4 linked regions of the Diceros bicornis minor genome follow. The protein of the gene in region 4 interacts with the protein of the main gene of each other region in a pairwise test. Links are inferred from orthologs where the notes say so. Each region holds a gene or a part of one and is shown on either strand. Other genes may lie near its edges. The genes, in order: ZCCHC10, HNRNPF, HNRNPUL1 and DZIP3.

What was found.
Region 1: the proteins of DZIP3 (region 4) and ZCCHC10 interact in binary tests that used the Homo sapiens proteins (3 or more experiments, as listed by UniProt). The link is inferred for Diceros bicornis minor from reciprocal best matches to the Homo sapiens genes DZIP3 and ZCCHC10.
Region 2: the proteins of DZIP3 (region 4) and HNRNPF interact in binary tests that used the Homo sapiens proteins (3 or more experiments, as listed by UniProt). The two-hybrid records come from large-scale screens. The link is inferred for Diceros bicornis minor from reciprocal best matches to the Homo sapiens genes DZIP3 and HNRNPF.
Region 3: the proteins of DZIP3 (region 4) and HNRNPUL1 interact in binary tests that used the Homo sapiens proteins (3 or more experiments, as listed by UniProt). The link is inferred for Diceros bicornis minor from reciprocal best matches to the Homo sapiens genes DZIP3 and HNRNPUL1.

Annotation. Positions count from the first base shown.
Region 1 is NC_080740.1:52,289,400-52,296,669, reverse strand, and holds the start of ZCCHC10 (zinc finger CCHC domain-containing protein 10), read left to right. Parts: upstream 1-4,252; 5' UTR 4,253-4,271; coding exon 4,272-4,312; intron 4,313-7,270.
Region 2 is NC_080745.1:15,289,126-15,295,979, forward strand, and holds the start of HNRNPF (heterogeneous nuclear ribonucleoprotein F), read right to left. Parts: upstream 3,012-6,854; 5' UTR 2,980-3,011; intron 2,666-2,979; 5' UTR 2,598-2,665; intron 1,732-2,597; exon of another isoform or gene 1,650-1,731; intron 1-1,649.
Region 3 is NC_080773.1:15,283,286-15,291,277, reverse strand, and holds the start of HNRNPUL1 (heterogeneous nuclear ribonucleoprotein U-like protein 1), read right to left. Parts: upstream 3,009-7,992; 5' UTR 2,725-3,008; coding exon 2,430-2,724; intron 630-2,429; exon of another isoform or gene 566-629; intron 545-565; exon of another isoform or gene 1-544. Other genes in the region: AXL (tyrosine-protein kinase receptor UFO), read right to left, coding at 6,990-7,341.
Region 4 is NC_080754.1:11,807,580-11,815,377, reverse strand, and holds the start of DZIP3 (E3 ubiquitin-protein ligase DZIP3), read right to left. Parts: upstream 3,021-7,798; 5' UTR 2,896-3,020; coding exon of another isoform or gene 2,794-2,895; 5' UTR 2,324-2,793; intron 1-2,323. Other genes in the region: protein CIP2A, read left to right, coding at 2,794-2,895, 6,943-7,090. UniProt on the Homo sapiens protein: E3 Ubiquitin ligase proteins mediate ubiquitination and subsequent proteasomal degradation of target proteins.

The sequences.
Region 1 (7,270 bases), on a different chromosome or scaffold from region 4:
CAACCCAGTCCAGAGAGATGCAACTCTCCCTCCAACACACACCTTTTACATCCATCCCTCCCTCAGTTCTTTGAGACATCTTATATAACTGGAAGGCACTTGGGGGACGTTTTCCTAGAATAAAGGAATAGTCTGCTTAAAGACTGGTAAAGTGTTCATCCTCGCGAAGGGCCGGCCCCGTGGCTTAGCGGTTAAGTGCGCGTGCTCCACTGCTGGCGGCCTGGGTTCGGGTCCCGGGCGCCCACTGATGCACCGCTTCAGTGCCACGCTGAGGCAGTGTCCCACATACAGCAACTAGAAGGATGTGCAGCTATGACATACAATAATCTACTGGGGCTTTGGGGGGGAAAATAAATAAATAAATACAATTATAAAAAAAAAAAAAAAGTGTTCATCCTCGCCAGAGAGAAATTACTTGCAGCTTTCACAAGAGTTTTTAATTTTTTCAGCTTCTACTCATTAAAGTTTACAAAATTTAGCATCTGAATTTTAGCCAGGGTCCTCTGGACAAAGCTGAGGGTCCCTCAAGCTCATGGGCCTCAATGGGAAACAGCTATATTGACTTGGTCTTGCCACTGAAAAAGCAAGTTGTTATCGTATTGTGTGTGTGTGTGTCTGGCCCCTGTGTTGAACTCTCTAGAAGCTTTTTTTTTTTTAATTTTATTTATTTATTTTTGCCCCCATAGCCCCAGTAGATAGTTGTATGCCATAGCTGCGCATCCTTCTAGTTGCTCTATGTGGGTCGCGGCCTCAGCATGGCTGGAGAAGCGGTGCGTCGGTGCACGCCCGGGATCCGGACAGGGCCAGCCAGCAGCAGAACGCTCGCACTTTAACCGCTAAACCACGTGGCCGGCCCTCTAGAAGCTTTTAACTAATTCTTTTTTTTTTTTTTTTGTGAGGAAGATCAGCCCTGAGCTAACATCCATGCCAATCCTCCTCTTTCTGCTGAGGAAGACTGGCCCTGGGCTAACATCCATGCCCATCTTCCTCCACTTTATGTGGGACACTGCCACGGCATGGCCTGACAAGCAGTGTGTCCCTGTGCACCCAGGATCTGAACCCGGGTCACCAGCAGCAGAGCACCCCCATTTAACCACTACGCCACGGGGCCGGCCCCTTAACTAATTCTTTAGGCTTTCCAGGTGTGCGACCAAATCATCACAAATAATGTCATTGCTTCCTCCTTTCGATTTGTTATATCTCATTCTGTCTCTTGCCTTTTCACATTTGCTATAATGCAGTTTCTTTTAAAATTAGCTGGCAAAAAATCTGAGTATTATTTTGTGGGAAACTTGAAAATTTGAGAATAAAGCTCACCTAGGAAAATAAATGCCTAGGAGCAATAAGGAAAATTGAGGAGAAAGAAAGATTAATGAGGAGGGACTTGCCTTATCAGATATCAAAATATCCTATAAAACCATGGAAATTAAAACTATGAAACAAATACTGGCACAAATACATCTTTGGAAGAAAATAGAATGTCCAAACAAACTAAATTTGTACATATTTGGTACATGAGAGACTGGCATTTCAAATCAGTAAAGAAGTGATAGATTATTTAGTAAATGGTATTTCAAAAACTAAAAATTAGGATTAAGAATATAACCATAATTGTAATTAAAAAATTACAATAAAATACAAGAAAAAAATTTAATAATCTTTTTTTTAAAGATTTTATTTATTTATTTTTTCCCCCCAAAGCCCCAGTAGATAGTTGTATGTCACAGCTGCATATCCATCTAGTAGCTGTATGTGGGACGCGGCCTCAGCGTGGCCAGAGAAGTGGTGCGTCGGCGCGCGCCCGGGATCCGAACCTGGGCCGCCAACAGCAGAGCGTGGGCACTTAACCGCTAAGCCACGGGGCCGGCCCTAAATTTAATAATCTTAAACATAGGGGCCGGCCCCGTGGCATAGCGGTTAAGTTTGAGTGCTCCACTTTGGCGGCCTGGGGTTCCCCGGTTCGGATCCTGGGCATGGACTTACTGCTCATCAAGCCATGCTGAGGCAGCATCCTACATAGAAGAACTAGAAGGATGTACAACTATGACATACAGCTATCTACTGGGGCTTTGGGGAGAAAAAAAAAAAGGAAAAAATGACGAAGATTGGCAACACATGTTAGCTCAGAGCCAGTCTTCCTCAGAAAAAAGAATAATCTTAGACATAAAAGGCCATACTAAGCATGAGCCAAATCTAGGGACCTATAAAGGAAAAGATTGTTAAAAATGCCTATACAAAAATTTAATGCCTCTGTACAGGGTAAATGATCACAAAGTTAAAACACAACAGACAAAATAGGAAAAATATTTGTAAAATATAAAACAGCATTTATATGTAAAATATTAAAAGTTTCTACAAATCAATATTAAAAAGATAAAAATCCAATAGAAAAATAGGCAAAGAATTTGAACAGATAATTCATGAAAGAAGTACAGTCTTCAACAATCATATGAAATGTATTTAACCTCACCAATAATATATCATATTGGCTTATTAGATAGGCAAAAGTTTAAAAGTTTGACCATTCTCAATTCTGGTGAGAAAGTAGGATTTGGTTGCACAACCTATTTAAAAGACAATAGGTAATATATATCAAAATTAAAAGCACACATATCCTTTGACCCAGCAATTCTACTTCTAGGAAGGAAGTCATCTTACAGAAACATAGGTGAACGCTTAAAAATCCATTCATTCCATCTTTGTGGTAAATGGTCTAATGGTTCAACAATAGGGCACTGATTGGATAAATTGTGGAATATCCATATAATCTACATAAAGTAATACATAAAAAGAATGAATTAGATCTGTATGTGCTGATATGGGAAAAGATGTCCATAAGCACATTGAGGAATGAAGGAAGCAAACTGAAGAACAGAATAGTTGGTAAGATTCCATTTTTTTAAGAACAAGATGTGCTCAAAGGTCACATGACATCACCTTCTCTAGCTCCCAATGGTAAATCTCTCTTTACCTCCTTACCCTGAATCATTTTTCTTCAGAGTATTTATGTTCATTGGACATTGCCTTTGTTTATTGTCTCTAGAAAGCTCCATGTGTACAAGGACTTTATTTGTTCAGTGCTCTATCCCCAGTTCCCAAAACAGTTTAGGTGTTCGATAAACAGTAATTGAAAAAAATGAATGGGGACTCATAAATATGCACACATATATATTTCAAAAAGTTATATATAGTTCAAAGAACGTGGATTTAAGGGAATAAAATCTCCATGATCTGATACTAAATGCTAAAATATCCTAAAATAATTAATATTTGTCTAGGGCCGGCCCCGTGGCTTAGTGGTTAAATGCGCGCGCTCTGGTGCTGGCGGCCCGGGTTCGGATCCTGGGCACACACCAACGCACCGCTTCTCCAGCCATACTGAGGCCGTGTCCCACGTACAGCAGCTAGAAGGATGTGCAGCTATGACATACAACTATCTGCTGGGGCTTTGGGGGAAAATAAATAAATAAATAAATAAATAAAATTAAAAAAAATATATATATATTTGTCTAATCTTTTCCCAGTTGACAAAGCAGCTTTACTTAGTCTCATTTGGTTCTTGTAAAATCCCTATGAAATACATAAAAATAGAAATAATTAACATATATTTGCACTTTATGGTTTGCTAAAGTCAGTCTTTCAGTTGATGGTCCCAATCCTGTTCTACTCATTCCTTTTTTTTTTTTTTTTTTGGTGAGGAAGACTGGCCCTGGGCTAACATCCATGCCCATCTTCCTCTACTTTATATGTGGGACGTCTGCCACAGCATGGCTTGATAAGCAGGGCATAGGTCCGTGCCCTGGATCTGGGCCTGCCAACCGGAGGCGGCTGAAGCAGAGTGTGCGAACTTAACCACTATGCCACCTGGCTGGCCCCAACTGATTCCTTTTTATTTTGCTCTCCAGACTACTTCTAGTTTTCTGAACACTGCACAGTTTTATTCATATATATATGACTATATATTCATAAAATATATATACTTCCCTCACTTGAGAATGTTTTTCTCTGCCTCTCCACTCAATTTACGCGTACCCATCCTTCAAAACCCTGTACAGGCTGGACAAATGGCCTCACTTCTCTTCCTCAACCTAGAGACCCACACAGCAGACACAACACCCCAGCCTCCCACCCATTACTAGCCCCAAAGGTTGTCCCGAAGGCCCGAGACGCCGGCCAGGCTCCGCCCACGCCTGTGGCCGGCGGGTTCGAAGCCCCCGCCCCCACCGAGGGGTTTCCCAGCATGCAGCGCGGCAGGCCTCAGCCGCGCTAACATGGCGACTCCCATGCATCGGCTCATAGCCCGGAGACGAGCGTAAGTGAGGGCCGGAGTCGGGCTGCGGGGCGGGCTGGGGGCGGGGAGAAGCGCGTCAGCCGGCGGGTGAACGGGCGCCGGGATGCCGGGCCGGCGTGGGATCCTCAGTAGGGAGCGGCAGAGGGTGGCCGTTTTTTCTCGCAAGTTGCCTGCTCCTAAGGGGCTCGGGCTCGGGCCCGGGCGATAAGTTTGGTGCCCATGGGGTAGCGATTTCGTGAACTACGGCTGCGTAAGGTCCGCGGTGCAGGATCTAGGGGGTGTCTGAAGAAAGCCTCGCGTTTGGTTCTCACGAAGGGGACGCCCAGGAGTTGGTCCGTAAGTGGTTTATGCCCCTCTGCCACCCACCTGGCCACCCCATTCGTAGCCAAGAGAAGACTGAAGCCCTGATCCGACACCCCCGACTCTCGCCGACGTAAACCTTCAGCTCCCTAAGCAACCTCCAGCCCCGCTGGCTTTTCCTACCCACTTCCTCTCGCCTGTTCCTCGGGAACAGCCCGACTACAACGCCGATTTTTCTCACAAGCTGTAGTCTCACTTTCTACCATTCGTTTTCTTCAATAAATATTAATTTATTCATTGCCTGCTGCTTCCTGCCAGAATTGGGATCTAAAGAAAAAGAGGTGTTCAAGACATAATTCCTGCTTTCAGGGAGCTTACGTTCTAGTGGTGGAAAGAATCGGTAAACTAAACATTTTAAGTAAATCCAGTTGGTGATAAGAGCTTTGAAGGAAATAAGAGGTGATGGAAAAAATGAAAGGCCCAAGTTAAGTTGGTTGGACTGGAAAGGCATCTCTGAAGAGGTGGCATTTGAACAGAGATCAAAAGTGTGAGAAAGCCAGTCATGAGAGGATTTGGGGAAAGAGCATCCAGACAGTGGCATAATTGCTTTGAGGCAGGAAAGAGCCTAGTTTTTAAGAACTGAAAGATGGCTATTGTGGCTAATGAGTGAGAGAGTGGCACAGAAGTTTGCTGTGGTCAGATAATGTGGTAGTCATCTCAGATGCCCCTTTCTTATAAAGCCTTTTTTCTTCTGCCAACCTGTACACCCAAACAATGTCTGTCACTTTTTCATTCTCTCAGCATTTCATATCATCACCATTTACACGCCTATAATATATTGCTCACAGTCTGCTAGCATATATATGTATGTTATATTTCTTTTTATATTTATATTTTTTATCTTAAGATCCGTGTTCCTTCTCTTCTCGCTCCATTCCACTCTACCTCTCATGCCTGATGAGGAGAATTTGTTGAGCATAAGGATAAAGACTTGGGGTCAGAGTAGTATGCTTGGTGGAGGAAGAAGGCTTTGAAGTCAGACAGTTCTGAGATCAAGAATGGAGTGATGATAATACTTAATGGGCATGCTAAATGACGTCACCACGGTCTAACTTTCAGATTTGCCCTTTTGGGTGTTGGTTCCATACTTAGATAGATTTACTCCTTTGGTCCCAGGATGGCTGCAGTATCTAGGATCCTGTATATCCCCTCAGCTTCAGGTTGATGGCATCTCATTGATCTAGATTGGGTTACATGCCCAACCCTAAACCATGTCTGTGAGATTGTGAAGCTCTGATTGACTTAGATCTAGTTCTCTTCCCAGCACAATTGAATGGATCTCTATAAACCAATGATGAGCTGGGTGGGTAGGTCAGAGGAGGTCATGAATGCTGGATTGGCAGAACCAACCAATGTGCACTGTAAATATGAAGTGAAAGTGAGACTTTTAGCACCTAAAGAATATCGCACCATTTCTTGTTTTGTAAGTCTTAGAAAGTTGAACAGGTGTTCCGTTTCTGCAATCTGCCTGTATTTGGTACAGGAGCTACACAGAAGTAAAAGACAAATCTTAGCGTTAGGAGCTTCTGATCTTGTTGGGAAGAAAACATATGGTGTATAATAAAAAGTGTCATGGTATACAGACTATATAAGTCCCTAGGGAGTCAGAGAGGGAGGGCCTTTAGAGGCTAGGGGAGTCCAGGAGAGTTTGGGAATATCTGGGGGGGGGGGGGAAACAGAAGAGGAGACTTTACTTTTCTTTCTTTCTTTCTTTCTTTTTGCTGAGGAAGATTCGCCCTGAGCTAACATCTGTGCCAGTCTGCCTCTATTTTTTAGTATGTGGGCCACCAGCACAGCATGGCTGCTAACAGAGTGGTGTAAGGCCCATGCCCGGGAACCGAGCCCAGGCTGCTGAAGTGGAGCATGCCGACCTTAACCACTAGACCACCAGGGCTGGCCTTACTTTTCATTTTATATTCATCAAAAAGGTTTAATTTTATTTATAAGGAGTATATATTACTTCCGTAATAATAAATTTTAAACTTTTTAAGTTATGGGAAATGAGAAAGCACTATTGTCATTCTTTTTAAGTCTTTGGACTAATAGAGGAAAGAGGGAAATAAAAGAAAAAAAGAGAGAGCTTAAATTTGAACTCCCCATTCAGCAGATCTTTCAGGCACTTAACTTTAAATCAATCGAAATGAGATTATTTTCACTTTTTAAATTGTAATTACATCTACTCATATGTGAGTAGATTGTAGAATCTTGGTACTATCTGGGGTCGTTTCTTCTGCTAAACCCTCTGCTGGATTCTACTGCTCTCTCTTCAGTATCCAGAGTAATATCTAACTTTGGCTAGAAGACCTCCAGTAAGGACATACCTCCTGAAGTAGCCTGTTTCATTTTCCAAATTTATCAAAAAGTTTATATTGAGCTGAAAGGAAAATAATATTGATGAAGCTAAACCTGCTGCCTTCTAACGTCCCAGCTTTTGACCTAAGCTATAATTTCTGTCAGTTAAAAACCCTAAGTGTTTTCCACTTGAATTGCCCTCAAGTCAAGCTTCCCCGGTCTTGTATTTGTATTGGTTTTCTGGACTTGTGTCCGACTTACTTTTACCCTTGTTAAATTTCATCTTGTTAGATTCGACACTAATTTCCAGCCTGTCAAGACTTTTTT
Region 2 (6,854 bases), on a different chromosome or scaffold from region 4:
CCCTGGTTCAGGGCAACCAGGTGGGGATGAGGGCCCTAGCAGAGGAGGGCTGTCCCTGTCAGTCCTGAGTCCTAGTCCCAGCTGTGTCCCTAGGCAAGCAACTTATTTTCTCACCGCCTCCATTTTCTCATTTGTACAATGGGAATAAAACAATACCCACTTGTAGACTGGTCATGAGCATGTGATTAGAAAAATGTGGTTAAACCTAGCTCTCTGCCTGGACCCACTAAGGCTCAATTACTGCGGATCTACAAAGAGTTGGAGAGCCAGAGCTCAGACTGGGCAGAGGCTGGCAGGAAGTCACCTCCCATTTCTGCAGCCCCTCCAGGCACCTAGGCCGTTAAGTCTCCACACTCTTCACAGTTTTGGCCATATCCGAGGACTAACTCTCCTATTTAATCAATCTTTTCCCTTAAATCAATTCACATTTTTCCTTGAATATTTTATGTTTAAAGGGAGCTTTGTAACAATACTCAAGTGAAAACCAGTCACTTGTCAGTTAAAAAGAAAGGTAGCAAAAAGGCAAATATTACGAGAAGAATGTTACTAAAATAGAAAAAAACTAAAAAAAAACGAGATCATAACATGGAAATAATAAACAATCAACTTACAGAAGTGCATACAGAAACATGAGATCCCCAAGGCAAATTATGGACTTACTTAATATTAGTAATAAAGCAATCTCTCTCAATATTCATTATATGTAGAAATTAATCTATTTTAAAATGAAAAAATTGTCTAGAAATTAGTACATACTGAAAACATTACTTTTCACTGAGAGATTAGATTTTAATATATTTTTTATCTAACCTGAGAACCCGACATATTTTCATCCTTACTAGAAATTCAGAAACGAAAACTAACTTTTAAGAACGTGACTAAAAGTAGTAGTGAGAATTATATTAAGGTCAGTAGTTTCGATGATGTTTGATATAAAAAACTATTTGCAGCCTTCAAAACTCTCCCGCTCCCGCGCCTGCGGACACCTGAGGCCGCCCCGAACCCCCGGCGCCCCCCGCCCCGGCGGCCCTGGGAAGCCGCGGTCGCACCGTCCCCCCTCGGCGCGCCACCCTCGCGGGCTCCTCTCGCGCCGCGCACCCGGCCCGCAGACAGTTGTAAACACCAGCGGAGGAGGGGTGTCCGTTCGTCCTGGGGCCTCCGGGGGAAGAGAATGCGGCCAAGGGCGTCCCGCAAGCGGCGGGCCGGGGCCGACGGGACGCCGGGCGAGGGTCCCGCAGGTGCCCGGGGCCGGGGGGGCTCTCCTGGGCCTGAGGGTTGTCTGCGGGAACACTGGGGTCCTGAGAGGCCCTTTAAAGTAGAGATTAACGGGAGGGGCCCGCGGCCTCCCCACCGTTTCTATAATAGACCAGGGTCCGGGGACCGAGTAGGTCAGGTCCCCGCGACCCGCGCGGCACCACCTCAGGGAGCCGCGCAGGAGCACGGGAGGCAGACGGCGCCGCGCGAGCTCCAGCAGCGTCCGGAAGTTTCTTAGGCGCAGTCAAGAATCAGCGAAACACATATTCAAAGATACAAAGAAGGAAAGCACGAGGGAAAAACGAAACGGCCGACTAAGCCCGCTCAGCAGAAGCGTGGTCACCAGGCAAAGACAACGAGAACCAGAGTTTCACCCCAACATGCGAACACTGTACCTCGACGGGCAGGAGACAAACGCGGACGGGCGCGCAGGGCACACACGCGGCTCGGAGAGGAAGAAAAGGCCGTGAGCACCGAGAGTGGAGGCGCGGCGAGCGGGAACGTGGGAGGGGGAGGAGCCAGGCCCAGCCAGTCTTGGGCAACTCCCGGACGCGCCCGGCCACGTGAGGGAACTGCTCTCATTTCTAAAGGAAGCCCCATCCGACAGGCCCGTGTGCCCGCGCCCTGCTCCCCCTGGAGTCCGCCCGAGGCCCTCCTGTCCTTCCTCCCCGCGGGTCCTGCCTCCCCTAACCCTAAATCTCAGCCCCCTGGTCCAGTCAAGTGTAAGGCCTGACCTCAGGCCCGCCTCCCCGGACCCCAAATCTCAGCCCCGCCGTCCCCACCCCCAGGGGAGCCCAGTCCAAGGTCGGTCCTCCGGTGTGCAGCCCCTGACCTCAGACCCCACCTCCCCCAAATCTCAGCCCCGCCGTCCCCACCCCCAGGGGAGCCCAGTCCAAGGTCGGTCCCCGGGTGTGCGGCCCCTGACCTCAGACCCCACCTCCCCCGACCCCAAATCTCAGCCCCGCCGTCCCCACCCCCAGGGGAGCCCAGTCCACGGTCGGTCCCAGGGTGTGCGGCCCCTGACCTCAGACCCCGCCTCCCCCGACCTCAAATCTCAGCCCCGCCGTCCCCACCCCCAGGGGAGCCCAGTCCACGGTCGGTCCCCGGGTGTGCGGCCCCTGACCTCAGACCCTGCCTCCCCCGACCCCAAATCTCAGCCCTGCCGTCCCCACCCCCAGGGGAGCCCAGTCCACGGTCGGTCCCCGGGTGTGCGGCCCCTGACCTCAGACCCTGCCTCCCCCGACCCCAAATCTCAGCCCCACTGTCCCCACACCCAGAGGGCCCAGTAGCCAGTCGGTCCCGGGTGTGTGGGCTTCGGACCCGCGGCCCGTCCCGCCCCTCACCTCAGGCTCGGAGTCTCCGCGCTCCCGCTCTTCCTCACACCCGGCACCTCGGTCGTCCCCCTGAGCACCTAGAGGAGGGTGGAACGTGGGGGACTTGGCAGTTGTAGCTGAGGCAGTTGAGGCTTGTTTACCATCACCATGGAAACCCCTGGCAGCGCGCCCTGGGCGGGGCTTCCGAGGGGAGGGGTCAGGCGCGCGGCAGGCCCGAGTCCACAACTCCCGCCCGTCGTGCGCACGCGGCGCTTCCGGAAGCCCTTACATGCCCGGTCCCCGCTCGGCCCTGTGCCCCAGCACCTGGGAGCAGCAGCCCCAAGAGATCGCGCCCCCGCCCGCCTTCCGTGTGCTGGCGTGACCGCAGGCCGGTTTCCCCACCAAACCCCACCTTGTTCTCCTGGAAGACGAGGCGCAGCGCTACTTCCACGACAGAGCCGGAAGGACGCAAAGACCACGGCAGGGCGGGGCCGCGAGGGCGCCATTGTGACGCGCCCGGAGCGGAGCCGGGGATTGGCCGGCTGGGCGCGGGGCGGGGCCGGGAGGGCGCCATTGTGACGCGCCGGGAGCGGAGCCGGGGATTGGTTGGCCCGGCCCCGGGGCTGGTAGTGCCTGCGGAGCTGGGTGGTGGAAGGAGAGGAACGGGGCGGGGGGACGAGGGCGAGCTTTTCTCTGGGAAGGGGAGGGTTAGCGGAACGCTCCTGAGCTCCTGACGATACTGACTGGGAGAGCTCCCCAAACAGTGAGCGCAAAGGGCATCTGGCTTGAAGACCAGCCTGAGAGAAGAAAATGAGAGTCGTTTCCTGCCGAGGAAGAAAGAGGGAACCGAGAACACCGGAGACGAAAAAAGCGGCTCCGAGGGGAGAGTTTAGGGAAAGATTAGCTGGTTGACTGAGGTTGCTCACGTGATTATCACTTGGGCTGAGAAGCCCCCAACTCTCTCAAGGTGACCCAGAAGACCCAAGGAGAATGCAGGGTTGCCTGTCACAGAGGCCCTGAATTGAGAAGCTGGATGGAAATGGCTACTCCGCCTGAGGCAGGGGAGCAGATGTGTCCTTGGGTTAATAATTATTACCATTTTAATTTTGCAGACACTCTTTAAAAAGATGACGATATCAAGACCCTCATCGCAGGTTAAGGAGAAGATTACTTAAAAATTACCAGTTAAATTAAGGGAGTGCTTGGCATAGTATCAGATTATGAGTGGACAATGATAGTAGAGAGAGGAGCGTAGTTTGTCAAAAGAAGCTGATTCCAGGAAGGAAAAAATGGGAAGGGTAAAAGCAGGAGCTGTCAAAGGAGGTGAAAATGTACAAGAAGAAAATTAATCAAAGGCAAAATTACAGAAAACGGGTCCTACAAAAATCAGATAGGTATTCTTAAGAAACCCCACAATGACTGTCACTGCTCATGCTGTAGAAAAGTCTGTTTCTGGAGACAAAATGCAAGAGCCAATCTGAGGCAAGTATTAAAATTATACCAAAAAATAGTAATGCTTCAGAATTTGGGACTGTGAAACCAGGTTCAAGGAGATAGGTTCATGCAGTCTGTTAAAAGGACTTCTGTTGTGGGCTGTTTGATGCCCTCATCAAGTTTGACAGTTCTCCATCATTCATCAGTGATGCAGTAACCTTTGAGGTCTTCTCTGAATGGAAGACTAGGGCCTTGGCCTGATTATGAGCCTCCCCCTGTCCAAGGGAGTCATCCCAGGTGTCCACTATGTTATCTTTTTCAGAGGTGAGTGCTAGCACAGCCATATATAGGCTCTCTTCCATAGTGAGGGCTGGAATCAGACTGGTGCCACAGATCCTAGGTCTTTTCCACAAAAGTCCAGCTCATCTCACCAACTGGAGAATGCTTACCCAATCCTGGTCTACTTGGATCACCTCCTCAGCTGTGGGGGCTTAGGGGCCTCTACCCTTTCTTTTCATCTCTATGTACAGAAAAGTGTCACCTAAGCTCTGAAATCTAAAAAGAGACGTTTTTTGATTCTTGAGAGTACCTACACAGAGATGAGCCTTTAAGGTCTGTGGTTTAAAAACAACTGAATTCACCACAAATGAAGATCACCCCAAGATGTATCCTGTTACAGACTGACCTGTTTATTTCCTGTTGTTTATGTAAATAGATTATCACAAATTTAAGACCTTTTAATAAATATTTTAAGTTTTAAAAATAAGCTTCTCTCTGGAAATTACTCGTCCATAACAAATGGTACAGAGGTTTGTATTGTCTAGAGTCTTAAAATTTCCCAGTTGATACCACTTGAAAGAACACTTCACCCATTAAGCTTTGACCCCCTTCCCCAGGAGAATGCCAGTGGGTAGGCAGGATCACCAAGGCTCAGCAAGGCTCTTATTCAAAATCACAGTATCTGTTAACTAGCATTGATGATAACAATACCTAACGTGTTGCAGTGTTCTGAATACTTAATCTCATTTCAACATCATAGCAACCCAAGAGTAGATGTTATTACTATCATCACCACTTAGTGGAAGGAAACTGAGGTAGAGAGTTGTTAAGGGAACTTTGCTAAGGTCACTCAGCTTGTAGATGGCAGATCTGGGCTTTGGGCTGAGGCACTCTGGTTCCAGGATCTGCCCTCTTAACTGCTGTGCTCTCAAGATGTAGGGCTTTCAGCCTGGCTTACCAGCCCCTTCTCTGTCTCCCTTTCCCATCTGAGAGAGGGAAAGAACGAAATGAGAAAGCAAATTCAACTGTCCAGCCACGGTATAAATACTGTCCAAATGTAAATTTTATCCTTGAGGCCAGGTGCTCTAGTAGGTGAGATGAGGGATAAGATAACCCAGCTGGGACAGAGGCAAGTTGAGAAGTCAGCCTCGTCTGGTTAATTTTCTTGACTAATATAGAAAAATGCACCTTTGAAGCAGCACAATGCTTATTCAAGAGGAAAGTCACCACCACAGAGGGCTCGACCCCCGCCCCCAGGGTTATTTGCAGTGCTTTCAGGGTACTTTACGTTCTTTCAGACAGCACTTTGAGTTAGTGAAAGAGATGTTATGGCACCCCCTGAGCTTGATGGTTACTTGCTTGAATTGGGTTCTTTGCGTAGCAAAAGACTGCAGGTGGACTGTGTGGTTCTGGGCAGTGTTGTGTGGCTACCCTTACTTTGACCATTTCTTCAGCAGGCCGGCCCAGCAACAAGCCTTGGTTTGAATGTTAGTGAACAAAGGTCTAGCTCTGTCTCCATTCTGATTTGTCAGCTTTTAGCCTTATCATGAGTGTTCCCACCCAAAAGTATGTGCAGTTAGATGCCTTCACTACTATGGGGCCTCAGGAGAATCAGAAAACTTCATTTGGATCAAGATGTGCTGTTATATGTCAATTATATCTCAATAAAACTGGAAAGAAAAGAAAAGATCTGCCAGGTGCAGGGCAGCTTGCAGCTTCCCTCTGCCTTTCTCTTGTAGTAACTTCCATTTTAAAAAATTATAGACTGTTGAAAACAAACACAAAATTGTAGATATTGTACAAATGTAAGAGATATTGACATTTTGACGTATTGACTATTTCCTCTCATTGTTTTGGACCAAAAAAAAATTACAGATTAAACCACCACTGGTGGGGTATTGACGTTTTGTGATCAGAGAAGAAACAAAATGTGTGGTCCATTTACATAACTTTTTTTAAAAAGAATATTGCTTCCTGTAATACAGTTTGTGTGGGTAGATGTGTGCTATCTTGATCCGGTTTTGAGGCCCTGCTTAGACGCTGGTCTAGTTCCTCTTCTTAAACAGCCAATTAAGTCCACACTACCAAACACCTCCCTTATCGGGCTCTGACACTCTGGGCCGCCATACACTCCCTAATTACCCCAGGGCCAGATATCAACCAGAGACAGCCCCTTGCTCCGGAGCCCACTGAAATTATTTAAATTAGCCGATCCTAAACCTGTTTGCCCTGTTTAACCCTTTCCTTTCAGCAAAAACCACAATAAAGGTGCTTGCCCACAGTTCCCTCTTGCTCTGCCTTGTGACCAACCTGGTGCTTCCCCTGAGTGGCCCCGGTGGCATGTTGAGTTCTCCTCCGAGAGCTGTGAGTATAAAAAACCGTAAAACTCTTTCCAGTTTCTCTCTCTTGATCTGCATCTGACCTCACTGTACCTTACCCAAGGTATTATGATTAAAACAGTTCCTTCCCTCTGCAGCTTCTATTTCAAAACTATCATGGTTGGATGGGTGGGCGGGAGCCTGGCACTGAAGTCTTTGAATCAGCCCCACATTTCCCCTGAGTACCAACCCCTTC
Region 3 (7,992 bases), on a different chromosome or scaffold from region 4:
CCTACTAGTGGCTGTGCCAGGACCAGTGAGGGAGAACCACAGGGAAGGAGAGACTATTCTGCCACTTGCTAACTGACTGGATCCTTTCTCACAGGACAAATACATCTGGGCACAAACCAGGTGCAGCCCAAAGGGAGGAAAGTAACAGATCACGTGGTTTGCTACAGGTCTGTTTACCAGAGCTGAAAGAAGGGTTGGAGGGGGGCATGAACGGGGCTCAAAGGACTTTGCTGTAGAGGGTAGGAGAGAGATGAAGAAATAGAATATCTCCTTAATTGGAACACGGGGGGCCCTTTCAAACCATTCTGTTTCCTCCAGGCTCCAAGCACAGTGCTCTTCTTCCCATAGAGCCTCATATCTCTCTTCTTGAGAATCTCTCCTGTGCCCACTGAGGCAGCTTCGTCCAGAGAAGCTATGATTCTGGGGTCCTTCTCCACTCTCTAAAACATCCATCTCCTAATAACAGGCAGACCCAGTGCTAAGCCCCTTACACATGCGATCTCATTCACAACAATCCTGGGGGCATTAGTCTCCGTATTTTACACACAAGGAAACCAGGGCTCACCGAGTTCTGAAGTGACTTGTCCAAGTCATGGAGTCATATTTGAAACAAAAATTTGTCTGAGTCTAGAGCCTGTGCTCTGGAGCACCTAACTCGCTTTCCTAGACACCTCCAGCCATTGGCCCTTTTTCCTAGGCATTCTTGCCAGGGTGTCTCCTGCCTTAGACATGCACGCTGGGCCACTCCTCTTTCCTTCACAGGTCTCTGCATAGGAAGTACTCTTTCCAGCACCTGGGTCCTGGACAAGCCCTAGGCTGCTCTCCACCCTAAATCTACACTCAGGTTGCTCCCCTCCCGGAGATCTCATCTCTCTCGAACAAGTAAGTACTCAACGCCCACTCCAAATCATGTCTCTTCCCTGACCCCCTTGTTCTCATTCCCTTAGCCCCATGGCCCAGGGTGCCCTCTTTTCAGAGAAATACCAGAAATCCTGGACGCCAGTATCCTTTCTACTTACTCCTTACTCTCCCCAGTCCCCATTCCCTAGTCCTGCTAGGAAGCCACCCTTTTCTAACTCCAGATTTACTCCCACCCATACCACGGTCTCCTCTCTTCAGACTATCACAGATCTATCCTACTCCCTCTCATTTCAAGTCCTACCTTCTGGCTGATGCAGAGACTCCCTGCTACCCTCTGAGGTCTCCCCATCCCTGGGCACACAAATAACTGCCTCTGGGAACCAAGGAGCCCTCTCATGGAGACACCCAGCCCCAGAAACACTCCCCGGACTCCACCCAGAGGCCCCCAGACAAATCAACAGGTTCTTTCTCCTTACACATTCTACATTCTCCCCTCCCCCCCTCCCCCATATTTGCTAGACCAGCTACACACTCCTGTGCTAGACACAAGGATCCTCCGTCCCCCAGATACTCCATCGACTTCAAACTCCACCAACCATCTGTCCCGCTCCACTCCTAGCTACCTCTGTTCTCCAAACAACCTGTACTGTTAATCCAAGATCATTCAGCAGTAGCCCCTGAGTTATCTGTCCTGAGAGCCTTCCCAGCTGTAGTCCTCTAGGTCCCTTGTCCAGTGAAGCATCCTTCCCTCCCCTGCCAGCCTCCGGACACCAAGATTCCCTACGCTTCCTCTGGAAGTCAACCAGAAGGTCCCAAGATTTCCCAGCACCAAATGCCCAAGCTGCCCCTGCCTCAAGGTTGGCCTGCCAGCCCTGGATCTCACACTCCTACAGGCCATCCTCAGACAGATGTGGGTCTCCCATAGTCCAATCATACGGTGGTGTCCCACATCCCCTACACACTTATCAGCCAAACAGAGCACCCAGTCCATCAGACCCTCCCCGGCCAGACACTAGCACCCCCATTTCATCAACCTATTCCAGTACCAAATTTGAGAATTCCCAGTACCTCATCCAGCAGCAAACTCCAGGATCCTCCATCCTCAAAACTCTCCTAGTTCTGGACACCTGGTCATTCCTTCCCGAGCACTAAAACGAGGCTCCTAACGCCCAACCCACTCGCCAGGCTAGCACAGCCCCCAAACCCCTAGGATCCCCATTTCCAAGATCCTTCTCAGCCCCTGAATAGAAAATTTCTTGTTCTTCCGACTCTCTCTGGCCCCAGAAACGACGGCTTCCGGTCCCCGAGCCCCAGGCTCTACACCCCCCAGACCGTCCTCCTCTCCGAAACCAGGAGCCCCCACTCCACTATCTCCTTTGCACCAAATGCCAGGATCCACCCTCCGGTCGTCCCGAGGCCCTGGTCCCCAGATCCTTTTCAGCGGCGGGTGGCGGGATCCCCCAATCCTCAGACCGTCTCCCCGACCTCGGGCGCCGGACTCCCGCGTCCCACAGCCCTTTCTCGGCCCGGACTCTGGGCTCCCCGGCCCCCGCCCCGCGCACTCTCACAATGTCCGTCCGGCCCCGAGTAGCCGCCAGGCTCCGGGTGCGGCTGCAGCCCGGGCGGCGGTGGCTGCGCGGTCCCCTCCAGCTCGGAGCCCCCCTCGGTCTCGACCTCCTCGTTGTTGTGCCCGGGTCGCCCCGGTTCGTCGTCGGCCTCGAGCTCCCGCTCGTCGTCGGGCTCCTCGGCCTCCAGCGCCGCCTGCAGCCGCTCAGCAAGCTCGGCCTTGAGGCCGCGAGTGTCCAGGCCGCGGCGCTGCAGCTCCTCGCGAAGTTCGTTCACCTTCAGACGGCGCACATCCATGGCCCGGGCCCCCGGGGCGGCCCCCGAGCCCGGCCCGGCCTTCCAGGGCTCTGTCCCCCTTAAACCTTTCCTGTCAGTAGGCGAAGGGGGAAGGGGGGGGCCCCCCACTCCAATGGCGGCGGCGGCTCAAAATGGCCGCCGCCGCCGCCTCCCCCTCCTCTGTTGCCCCGTGCGATGCAACACGGGTGCCAATTGGTCACCTCGTGAGGGCAGCGGGCGCGGGCCTGGAGATTCAGCCAATTAGAGCGCGGCTTTCAAAAGAACGGCAAAGAAAGGGCTCAAGAGCTGCCGGGGAGGAAGCGTTGGCCTACGTTGATGCCGCGGCCGGAGCGGAGGGCGGGAAAAGGAGGGAGGCGGAGCGCGCGGTGATTGGGTAGCGCCGGCGCGCTCTCTCTCGTAGGGTCAAATGAGGGAAAGGGAGTAAAGACTTGGGCCAATCAGCGACGAGATCTCAGAATGAGCGCCCTCACGGCCTTTCCTGCGCGGTCCTTTCATCAAACTAGTGTCTCTGTAACACATATCCTGATTGGTCTAGATCTCCCGCCCCTAGAGGCGTCCAAGCGGGTAAAACCACTAGAACCAATCAAATGGAGGGTCGGCAGACCCTCCCCCCCCTTCACTATTGCCTTTAAAAACCGGAAAGAGATGAATTCACGAAGGACCTACCCTTTGCCGTTAGGGCGGTTTCAAAACAATCTGCCCACCAATCGCAGTTATTGTTTTATCTCACTAAAGCTAGTACGGTTGGATCGCTTTAGGAAAAGCTAACCAGATTGGCCATTTTTCAGCGGACGGCCTCACAAATCTCGCTGTAGAAGGAGGTATACGAAATAGAGATTAAGTGGATTAATTATTCTTAGCCTGGAAAAAACTCAGTTGTCTTAATGAAAAGCAACCCTTTGACTTCAGAGAGTCCTGCAGGTTTGAAAATAGAGGCTAGTCTAACAACGGGAGAAAAGTTGTAAAGGAAATGGCACCCTCTCCCCTTTGATAGTACATCTCACAGGGCGCCTCTTTCCCCGATCTGAGCTTCGCTGCCCTCTCTCTCTATGGTTGGGATCTTACGTGGAATGGGCGCTCTGCACGCGACCATAGAGCCGTCCCCCCCGGAAAGACCTCCAGAGGTTCGCGGGTCTCTACCCCAAATCCTCTAGACGCCTGTTCAGTGGACGTGGCTGTTTGGCGTCTCTACTGACAAGCTCAAACACACAGGTCCGTAGTTACGCCTCACGCTGCTAAATACAAACGCCACACAGCGTTTCACAATGTCTAACGCTGCACCACCTGTCGCCTCTAACTGAAAAGACTCAAAACTTCTGTAAGATGCACAATCGAGACACACAATGCAAACGCCCGCTGCGCATTGAGCCATACCTTCAGCCCACAAAAGCCACACACGACCTCTATTTAGACAAAGGCACACACAACACAGATAAACAAATGGCCGTGAGTCAGATCAGATGCATCAATTCAAGGGGTAATACACCAAACTGCAGTGTAGATGTGCCCACTAAGGTCCGCACACGCAGGCGGCATCTAAAGATAAAGACACACAGGACAGTTACACAAGCTTACACTACGGCAACCTATACACCCAGCACCCACTCAGAAGCGGGACAGACACTCACGTGGGCCCAGAGGTTTCAGTCCAGACACCCCGCCCCACGCCCACGTCCGACTTCCTCTCTACCCCCAGCTTCCCAGAATGATTTGTTCTAAAAAAGTTTGTGGCCCGGATTGAACTGTTCTCGGTTCTCAGGAGCCGCCACCGGGGGGCGTCCGGGCGCTGCCAAGGGTTCCTCCATCTGCTCTGGACACACCCAGGAACGTGTGCCCGCGATGCGTGCAAAACACAGGGGACTTGTCTTGGCAGGAGTCCCTTTATGGGCTGGTGATTATCGGAGGTGTTCTGTGCCTGTGTTTCTATGTGAATCTGAACGTTTGGGTCTGTGAGTACCTGTTGTACTTTATATGTCTCTGAGTATTTGTGTCACTTTACTCTTTGTGTGTCTGTATCTGTGTTACTCTAGTTTCTCCCTATTCCTGGGGAGTATCTGCCTGTGCATATGTTTATAAATATGTTTGTATCTGTGTAATTTTGTGTGTCTCTGTTACTCATGTGTCTGAATTTCAGTGTCTTTGTATTTGTGACCAGGTGTGCCTGAGTATGTCCACTAATTCATGTATCTGTTACTTTGTGGGGAGGAGTGTCTCTGTGTGACCTCGTGAGTATCTCTGTGCCTATTCCTTGCCAGGGGTTTCAGAGAGTCTGCATTTCTTTGCTTGCGTGTCTTTTTGTCTATGTGTATGTTCATCTCTACCCTCTTTAGTGAGGGGAGAACTCCTAGACCCCACCAAACTCTTCTTTTTACTGAAGGGGAAACTGAGTTGCCAGGGAGGGAGGCCACATGACAGCTGAGTGGAGACGAGAGGAGACGGAAGTGTGGTTACAAAGTTTTATGTGATCTGGGCCCCTCTGGAGGCGCCAGCGTCCACACTCAGTACAGGGGCATGAGAGACTGGCTCAGGGGGGCAGCATGGCCCAAGAGGAGGAAGATTGTCCCCTGGGGAAAGGAGACATTCCTAATGCATTGCACAGGCTTGAGGGGGCACACCCCCACATGAAGGGAGGAGGAAGCAGAGGTGGCTAAGAAGGGGAAGGTCACACAGAAGAATATAAGGCTAGAACCTTGGAATCGTCCCTTGGAATTCTATGCCTGTAGACCTGTAGAATCTTACAACATTTGAATCTTAACACTACAGTGTCTAGAATCTTAAGATTTAGAACTGTGGATCTTAGACCCATAACTAAAATCCTAGAAAGGCAGAATGCAGCATAGAACCTAAAGATGTCCAGCATTAGAAATGATAAGAGGGCTGGCCCCGTGGCTTAGCGGTTAAGTGCGCACGCTCCGCTACTGGTGGCCCGGGTTTGGATCCCGGGCACGCACGGACGCACTGCTTCTCCGGCCATGCTGAGGCCACGTCCCACACACAGCAACTAGAAGGATGTGCAACTATGACATACAACTACCTACTGGGGCTTTGGGGAGAAAAAAGGAGGAGGATTGGCAATAGATGTTAGCTCAGAGCTGGTCTTCCTCAGCAAAAAGAGGAGGATTAGCATGGATGTTAGCTCAGGGCTGATCTTCCTCAAAAAAAAAAAGAAAGAAAGAAATGGTAAGAACTTTGGTATCTAGTTAGTCACAATTAACTGCAGAGACTTATACCTCAGATGCTGAAGATCCAGAATCTTGGACCAATAGAGTCTAAAGTGTCTTGGAACATAGAACAGACCAACATTAGAATCTTAGAGTTTAATAATCTAGAATCTTGAAGCATATGATCTAGAATCTCAGACACAGAGAATCTAGGTTCTTAGGCTAAGTCTTAGAACATCACATCTTAGAACATGAGACCTTAGAAACTCCATCTTTAGACTCTTAGAACTTTTGAATTGCAGATTCTAGAATCTTAGACCTTTAGGATCCAGAATCTCCTAACAAGAGTTTCAAGGATCATAATGCCTTAGACCTATAGTTGGCCATCATTAGAATCTTAGAACTTGAGAAGATAAAATCTTGAAGGCTTATGATCTAGTCTTACAGCCAGAAGATTTACACTCTAAGAGGCTTAGAATATCAAATTTTAGAACATTAGGCCTTAGAACCTCCATGTCTAGAATTGTAGAATTTTTAGAATTGTAGAATCTAGAATCTTACACCCTAAGGATTCAGAACCCTAGAAAAATAAAATCTAGAATCTTAGAGTCTTAGATCCTAGAATTAGAATCTTAGAGCTTTAGAACCTAAAATCTTGTGGGCTTTATCAAGAATCTTTGAACCAGAAAAATCTAGAGCCATAGAATCTCAGAGCCTTAGAATATAGGCCTTAGGACTTCTATGTCTAGAACCTTAGCACTTTAGAATTAGAGACTTTGGAATTTCAGGTCCTTAGAACCAAAGACTTATAGCATCTTTGAAACCTAGAACCTTTGAGTCTAGACTCTTTAAACCTTAGAATCTAGAATCTTGGAATGTTAGACCTAGGAGGACCCTTAGGGGTTGCAGTCCAACCCCTTCCTTTTACACATGGGGACACAAAGGCATGGAAAAGGGGGAGGATCTATCTGGGATGGAAGTGGAATAGGTAGGAAGAGAGAGCTGCAGTTGAGGGTAAGGCCTGGAGCGGGAAAGTGGAGGGGGGTCCCCCAGTGGCAGTGCCTAGCTTGGGTCCTGAGAGGGAGTCCCAGGTAGAGGGTTGTCTCAGGCTCCATCCTCCTGCCCCGGGGATGCTGGGGAGCCCCTATCAGTAGGCAGGGTGGGGCCAGAGGCTGTAGAAGGGCAGAGGACATAGCGTCCAGCAGGATGGACCTCAGCCGCGGTGAGGCAGCTGCAGGAATCCTTAGGGTCAGGCTGGGTTGGGGGGTCAGCTCCTCCAGCTGCTCCAAGTGGTTCAGGATGACCCACACCCTCATCCATGTTGACATAGAGGATTTCGTCCGGCTCCTGGGCAGGGGGCAGGGCCTTCAGCGTGTTCTCCAGCTCTTCCCGCAGCTCTGCAAAACTCGGCCGGTCCCGGGGGTTTAGCTCCCAGCACCGGGACATCAGGACATACCTAGGGCAGCAAAGTCAGGGGTGGGAGACTGAGCAGGGGCTCAGAAGGGGAACATTCTGGGAGTCTGGGGGCATTTCATGGGACTGGAGGGAACCATAGCAGTTTGGGGGCATCTATGGGGATTTGGGAATTCTCAAGAGTTTCTGAGGGGGGATCCTGGGAGACTCAGGAGCTGGAAAGAGTCTTGGGAAACCTCTCTGGGTATGGGGTGGTGTTCTAGTGAGGGTTTGCTAGAGCAGAGCTTCCCAATGTGTCTCTGGCATCAAAGGCTTGCAAGCTGTGCAATTTAAAATATGTGCCTGGGGCCAGCCCCATGGCAGAGTGGTTGAGTTTGCACACTCCACTCTGGCAGCCCAGGGTTTGTGGGCTTGGATCCCGGGCGTGGACCTACACCACCCCTCAAGCCATGCTGTGGCGGCATCCCACATACAAAATAGAGGAAGATGGGCACAGATGTTAGCTCAAGGACAATCTTCCTCACACACAAAAAATTAAAATTAAATACAAAATAAAATAATAAAATAAAATAAAATAGTGCTCAAATTCTTTGACATCCCTCTCTTGAAAAGATGGAGCCTAATTTCCCTCCCCTTGAGTGTGAGCTGCACTTAGTGACTCAATTCTGACTCGGCAGCAGTGACGGTGTGTGTG
Region 4 (7,798 bases):
GTATGATAAACCATATAAAATTTCATTGAACATAAAACACAACCTGAATACTTCCTATTAACTACCTCAGCAGTAGCTATATCTTCTCAATCACACAGACTAGAAACTTGGAATCCCTACTAGTTTCATCCCTTTCCTCACTCTTCACATCCAAAATCGGTCACTAAGTTCTGCCTCTTTCACCTTGTATATATTTCTCAAATTTGTCACCTTTTTGCTATCTCCACTTCAATTATCCTGGTTATCCTTTGGAAAGACTCCAGCAAATTAAACCTTCTCCCTCCTTCTAGCCTTATCCTCCTCAAAATCATAGTCCATCCAGCTGCCAGAGTAATCAATATAAAACACAAACCCAACTAGATCAGGCCCCAGTTTAAAACCAGAGATCACCACTGAATTCAGGATGGAGTCCAAGCTCAAGGCTAACAAGGCCTTCAGTCATCTGGACCCAGCTTCATCTCCTCCTCTTCCTTTTCCCCCACCTTGGGGCTTAAAAGATGGCTCTGTTGTTCATATTAGGATATCCAAGTATCTCCAACTAAAGATGTCAGGGTTTCTCACAGCTACCACTATGGCACAACTTACTAAATTTACAAGATCTATTTCTGGTGAAGATTTTTTGAGAAACATTATTTTATATTAAAATGAATACTTTATGGAAAAGAACGCAAAATCTGTATGAATAGCTTAAGTTAAAATGGAAGATTTCAAAGATAGATGGCACTTAACAGCAGGCAGCTTTGACCCTTTCCCTTGGCTTAGAATGGAGATGATGATGAAGTACCTGTCATTATTTAACACCACCAAACTGTCGTCACTGCATCTGCCAACAAACGAAGATGTAACTGACACTTGCTGAGAACTTCATTACGCCAGGCAACTGTTCCAAATTCTTTATGTTGATTAACTCATTTTATAATGTTCTGCACCACCTGACATGACCTCATCTCCTCTACTCACCCTTGCTCCCTACTCCAGCCATAGCAGCATCCTTGCTGTTCCTGACACACTGTCATTCTCCTTCTTCAGGGCCTTTGCCCTTGCTATTCCTTCTATCTAGAAACCTTTTCCCGAGAGATCATGGCTCTCTTTTTCAACTCCTTGACGTCTTTTCTCAAACACGGCTTTCTCTATCCTAACCTCCCATTTCCCTTCTTCTCAGCCACCATAACTCTAGAGGAATAATTCTGCTCTATTTTTTTCCCCATCTCACTTTCCTTATTACCTTGTGTTTATTATTTGTTTTCTCCCTACCAGAACATAATATCCATAACAGCAGGATTTTTGATTCACTGAATCTCTAGTGCCTAGACAAGTGCCTAGCACACCGTAGGCTCTCAATGAATTATTTATTGAATTTATCTTATAAGACAAGTACTCCTGTTAGCCCGATTTTACCTTACGAAGAGAGGAAGCAGTGAGAATGTGCCTATCTATGGTCACACAGCAAAAAGTGGAGCTAGGATTTGTAAGCAGACAGCCTGACTCCACTCTTGATCAGCACTGCGCGGTACCTCTAACCCATGTGGTGAACTCCATATATACTGTCCATTAGTCCGTTTCCCTTCTTATTAGACAGTCCCTTCTCGGCAGTGGATACTTCATTATCTTTGCTCCCTGACCGGCGACATCTAGCCCATGTTATACACTCAATAACTATTTACAGAATGAACGAACCTATAAATAGCTAATTACCCAATGATCTTTAGACGTATGCAATTGGCTAGATTATTTTAAGCTTTCAGATTTAATTTTAAAATGGATTTTTAATCCCGTCTTTAAATGATAGTGATGTAAAAAATACTTCGAAATGACAAAACATGATTTCTGACGAGTGGTTTAAAAGGACACGTATCCTATTCCTACAATTTTCTGCAAACTGGTTTCGACGTTAGTACACAGGAAGCAAAGAGCTCCAGCTAGCTACTCTCGACTCATCCCATTATATACACACGCATAATATTACCTCTGATCAAAAACCGCAAACGACAGTGCCATTTTCACAGACACCGAGAGTTACGAAACAACCGATCATGCCAGATAAAGACAGACATCTTCACTTACAAAAACTGACGCTAATGAGAACGCCCTCCGGAGCAATACTTCGCCCAGGAGTCACCCGGAGGGAGCTTTCTCGAATAAGTGTGACGACTACCGTCAGGGCGGGACTAACTTGCCACAGAATCCCAATGGCCACAGGTTTACGCTGAGAAACAAACATTCCTGGTGGAAGCGGTGGACATATCTGAGATTTTAAAAAGAGGCCCCTCCCAGGCCGCCTCAAAATCTAGAGCCCAAGATTCTCGTCCTTAGAGCCCCTCACCGTGTCTAGACTAGAGGGAAGCGACCATCTCTCAGGCAGAAGATGATGCACAAAGGGAAACCGGCCATCCAACGTGAAGGCCGAGGAAGCGAACGAAAACGGAGCGCGCTGACAAACAGGACCCCACTGAGCCCAACCGCCCCTCCACAAGAGAGCCGCAGTCGCATTTCTCGCGAGACTTCTCGTCGTCTTCACGGAATCTCGAAACTGAAACCTCGCGGCTTTTCAGATAAGACCGGGATGTCAACGCCCTTCACGGACGCACAGAGCGCCTCGACTTTCCCCACCACCTCCCTTTATTGAGAGCCGTCCGCCAGGTTGCCTAGGGACTTCCGGAGCGCGAACGGAACCGGAAGCATCTGAGAGCGAGGGGGGTGGGGCCGAAAATCAAAAAAAAAAGCGCGGAGAAAGCTGGAGGAGAGAGCTGGAGGTGTGGTGGTGGCCCCCAGGTGGGGCTGTGGCGGGTCCCGATGGACTCCACCGCCTGCTTGAAGTCCTTGCTCCTGACCATCAGTCAGTATAAAGCCGTTAAGTCGGAAGCGAACGCCAGCCAGCTTTTGCGGCACTTGGAGGTGAGGGGCTCCGGGGTAGGGGACGAGATGGGCTTCCCTGTCGTAATCCTTAGTTCCCGGTGCTGCCCGGCGTAGCGACCCCAGCCTGGGAAGGAAAGGACGGCCCCTCGCTCGCTCAGCTGTCTTTCTGTATTGGCAGAGAAGGCGAGGGAGCGTCAGCCTGAATTCCCGTCCTCTTCTACCCCGCCGCGGGGCCCGCCGCGTTCAGCTGGCTGCAGCGAGAGGCTTAAGTCACTACCGAAAGCCCTAGGAAGAGGGAGGGTGGGGCAAGAGGTTGGGGAATTGAGGCTGTGCTTCGGGTGGGCGGAGGACAACGCTGTATCTTCCTTGTGCTTCTTTTGCTTTTTCCATCGTAACAGAGCCCTCAGAATATACAGCAATTCTCGGGCGTGGAGGTGATGGGGAGTGACGATTAACACTTGCTTTATCCCTTGTCCTTTAGGCAGTCTACAATCTGAACCTGTCGCTTACTGCTTTTACTTGAACTCATGTTGAATCGAACTTGAAAAATATTATGTCAACTTTCTTTGGGTTAAGAAACAATCTCCCTTACTCATAATAATAATCTTTTATTCTTTACCACAATGTATTACTCACAATTTTTCAGTCTTAAAATGCTGAATTTCTTTCACTTTTTTAATTGGTTCCCAGTGATTTGTGTCTAGAAGACTTATTCTGTGTTTTCCAAAGGAAAGCTATAATCACAGCTTTTCTGATCCTGTTTATTTTTAGGGTCTTAATCTCCTGCTGTCATTTGTTATGGCATTCATGGAATTCCAACTAATATTGACCTCAGTTTAATAAAAAAAAAATTGTCGCAGTTTCTGCTAACATAGAATTGAACATAATTTTAAAATATATTCTGTTTATTATATTAACCCTATGATAAAAGGCTAAATTATCAAAGATTAGCAAAATACTATGGAGAAAGACGATTGAGAATGGTACAGCAACATCAGCCTTTGGTGAAACTGGAGTAGCTGCCCGTGTCTTAAGTACATTGGGTTTCTTTTTTCATTCATTACCTCAACGAATACCTGCAAACCTAATAATTAAGGTGTTAGCTGTTAAATTCTAAGGCTTCACTTCTCAATTAGGATAGAACAGTGCGCTAGTGGACTCCAGAAGCCACAGGAAAAGCAGAACTGTCAGTTTTATTTAAGAATTAGGAGTTAGGCAGTTTAGATACTGATCTGAAACATTACCTCTTTGAGAATAAACAGGTATGTTGCGACTCTGAGCACAATGTTATGGTGAATTGAAGGAGACTTCAAAGAAACTTGAGGCTTAGAGACTGGCTCCTTGATAGTGTTTCCAGAATTCCAAGGGGTTTACCAAAAACACTTTTACCATTTAATTGGGAGATAACATACGTACATTGCATAAAGTGCATTAATCTTAAGTGAAGATCTTGACAGTTTTTTTTAACATAAGTGTACACTCAAGTGGCTACCACCTGTGTCATGATACAGAACATTTCCAGCGCCCTATAAGATTTTTTCAGTTGTTCCTTCTCTTAGGGTTCAGATAAGTGGACTCATACCATGTATACTTTTGTGTCTGGCTTCTTCCACTCAATATACTCTGTGAAATTCATTCATGTTGCATGTGTGCCAGTACTTCATTCTTTTTTATTGCTATGTAGAATTTCATTGTACAAATGAACCACAGTTTATATACATTCTCCTATTGATAGGCATTTGGGTTGTTTCCAATTCTGGGTGGAGTTAACGATAAACCTGTTATAAACATTTTCATACATTTTTTGTGGATATATGTATTCATTTCTCCTATATACCTAGGAGTGGAATTGTTGGGTCTTATGGTAAGTTTATGTTCAGTTTTAGTTGAACTGCCAAACAATTTTCCACAAGTTATGTCAGTTTACCCTCCCACCAGCAATATGTGAAGTTTGCTTCATTCATTCATACTGATCCTTGACATTTTCAGATTTTTTAGTTTTAACCGTTTTGGCGGACAGTGTTAATGGTGAATATCTTTGTGCGGACCTCATGAGAACATCTGAAGATAACAGAGAGTTATCATGTGAAAGGAGCTTGTTCACTCTGCTATTCTTCTGGACTTCTGCTATATTTTTTTCTTTGTAGCCCCAGGTAGAACCTGAGCTTTGCATTTTTTTATGATTGCCAGAGCTGAACTGGTCTCATTCTTGATGCTATTGCATAGCACTATTCTTATGTAATGATTATAAGCATGGATTCGGGAGCAATGAATCTTAGTTGTGCTGCTGTCTCATCAGTGTGTGCCTCAGCTTACCCATGTGTAAAACAGCTAGCACCTACCTTTCAGCCTTATTATGGTGAAAGGAATTAACATGCATGATGTACTTAGAACAATGTCTAGGCTAGAGTAAGTCCTAAAGTATTAGTTATTACTAAGATAAATTCTATTTGCATTAAAACATTCAATGTGTAAGAGTAAAGAAGAAAATCTGTAAAGCATTTTTCATTTTACCTCGTAAAAAATTATTATTACGTATTAGAATACTTATGTTGTTGAAATACGGGTCCATTCCTGAGGGAAATTGTATTTAAAGCAAAAAATGTCTTAATCTCGTAGAAGGCTAGCTTTATAAGTTGGCAAAAGGCCAATGCTCAGAAGGTTCTTTACCCCAAAATATCTACTATTGGTATCTAATTTTGCCTTTGGACCTGTTTATTCAGTCTGATAGACTTTTAATTGAATGTTAAAACAAGTACTCCCTGGGAACAGATATTCTGAAGCTGTCTGATCAGCAAAGCTTTAGAAGAAAAACTGAGGGCCAGCCCCATGGCTTAGCGCTTAAGTGTGCATGCTCCGCTACTGGCAGCCCAGGTTCCGATCCCGGGCGCGCACCAACGCACCGCTTCTCCAGCCATGCTGAGGCCGTGTCCCACATACAGCAACTAGAAGGATGTGCAACTATGACAGACAGCTATCTACTGGGGCTTTGGGGAAAAACAAAAAGGAGGAGGATTGGCAATAGATGTTAGCTCAGTGCCAGTCTTCCTCAGCAAAAAGAGGAGGATGAGCATGGATGTTAGCTCAGGGCTGATCTTCCTCACAAAAAAAAAAAAGAAGAAAGAAAGAAAAAGAAAAACTGACATCTGGGTGGAGGAATGAAAGAGGGATACAGAAATGGAAGCTAGAGAGATGCTAAAACAGCCTGATTTGACTTGGTCTTGTAGAAATAGAAGTGTTTAGAACAGATTCAATCTAATTCTAAAGTAAGTAATTGTTTTTTCCATCTTTATAGAAAAGATATGCTTAATAATGAATAACATGCATAAAGCATTTTGAAAATAAGTGGCTGTCTGACAACTGTTTTTGGCCTTCGATCCTAGCTTTACCTTTTTGGGAGGTGGGGGGATGCTTATAGGTATATAAGTGAGGAGTAGAAAGTGGAATAACAAATAATAAAATTTTTCAGTGCCTGACCTGGCTGCTTAAAAAAATTTTTTTTCAACTTCCTTCTTTGCAATCTCTAACTTCTGGACTCAACTACTGTCTTTGGGAAGGAGCGGAAGGAGTAATCACATAGTTAATCCCGTAGCTAAGCCTTTGTACTTAGCTTCTTCTCACTTATCATTTGCCTCTCTCAAAGTAGGTGAAATGAATGTACTGGAATTCATTTATTCAATAAATATATTGGTAGTAGAGTGTTGATTTGTAGTCTGTGCCTTCATGGAGTGTTCAGTGTGGGTAGGGAGGATAAATATTGCTAGGTCAGCAAAGGCTTGCCAACATATGAAATGAAAGTATAATTTACTATAGGATAGTATAACAGGCAAACCTAACCTAGTTGATGGAAGAAAGTTAGAGAAGGCTTCCTGGAGAAAGCAAATTAAAACTGAGACCCAGTGATTACATTAGCTGGTGAGGAAAGGGAGAGGTAATCTACCATGCAGAGGGAACGGCATGGATGAATTTTCTAAATCGAGAAAGAGAGTGGCAGTGGCACTTTGGGAGACTGAGTTTTTATTTGAGATGGAGAAGAGGTGAAAATTGCCAATTCTTAACTCACACATTTTAATTACTATTTTGTAGGTAATTTCTGGACAGAAGCTCACCCGATTGTTTACATCGAATCAGATATTACCAAGTGAATGCTTGAGTTGCCTTGTGGAGCTGCTTGAAGACCCAAGTATAAGTGCTCCACTGATCTTAAGTATCATCAGTTTGCTCTCTCAACTGGGTATGTATTTCGTTTCTCTTTTTCATTTTTTGGAAGATGTATGAATTTAACATTTCTTAAAGGGCAGGTTTAGTTATAGAATCTTTTGGAAAATGGTTCACATTCAAAAGATTTCTTTATCACAAGACCTCTCAGAACTATTTTGTATTGTGGATCTCTTGTAAAGGGGGACTATTATATGCATCCTTTCTTAAAACTATTGGAGCAAAGAATCTGAAGCATATCAAAGTTTCAGTGGTCTACAGAAAAAGAATGCACCTTGGGAAGTGCTGGTCTTCTTTTGAATTAAAAAAAAATACGTATGCATAATGCCAGTATTAAATACAGTACTCAGAAAAGTCATAGCTAGTGATCAAAAAATCAGTCTTCTTTTTTTTTTTTTTTTTTTTTTTTTTTTTTTTTTTTTTTTTTTGTGAGGAGATCAGCCCTGAGCTAACATCCGCCAATCCTCCTCTTTTTTTGCTGAGGAAGACGGCCCCGGGCTAACATCCGTACCCATCTTCCTCCACTTTTTTTATATGGGACGCCGCCACAGCATGGCTTACCAAGCAGTGCGTCGGTGCGCGCCCGGGATCCGAACCAGCGAACCCCGGGCCGCCGCAGCGGAGCGCGCGCACTTAACCGCTTGCGCCACCGGGCCGGCCCCAATCAGTCTTCTTTTGAAAGAGAGAATGCTGGCCCCGTGGCGTTAGTGGTTAAATTTGGCAT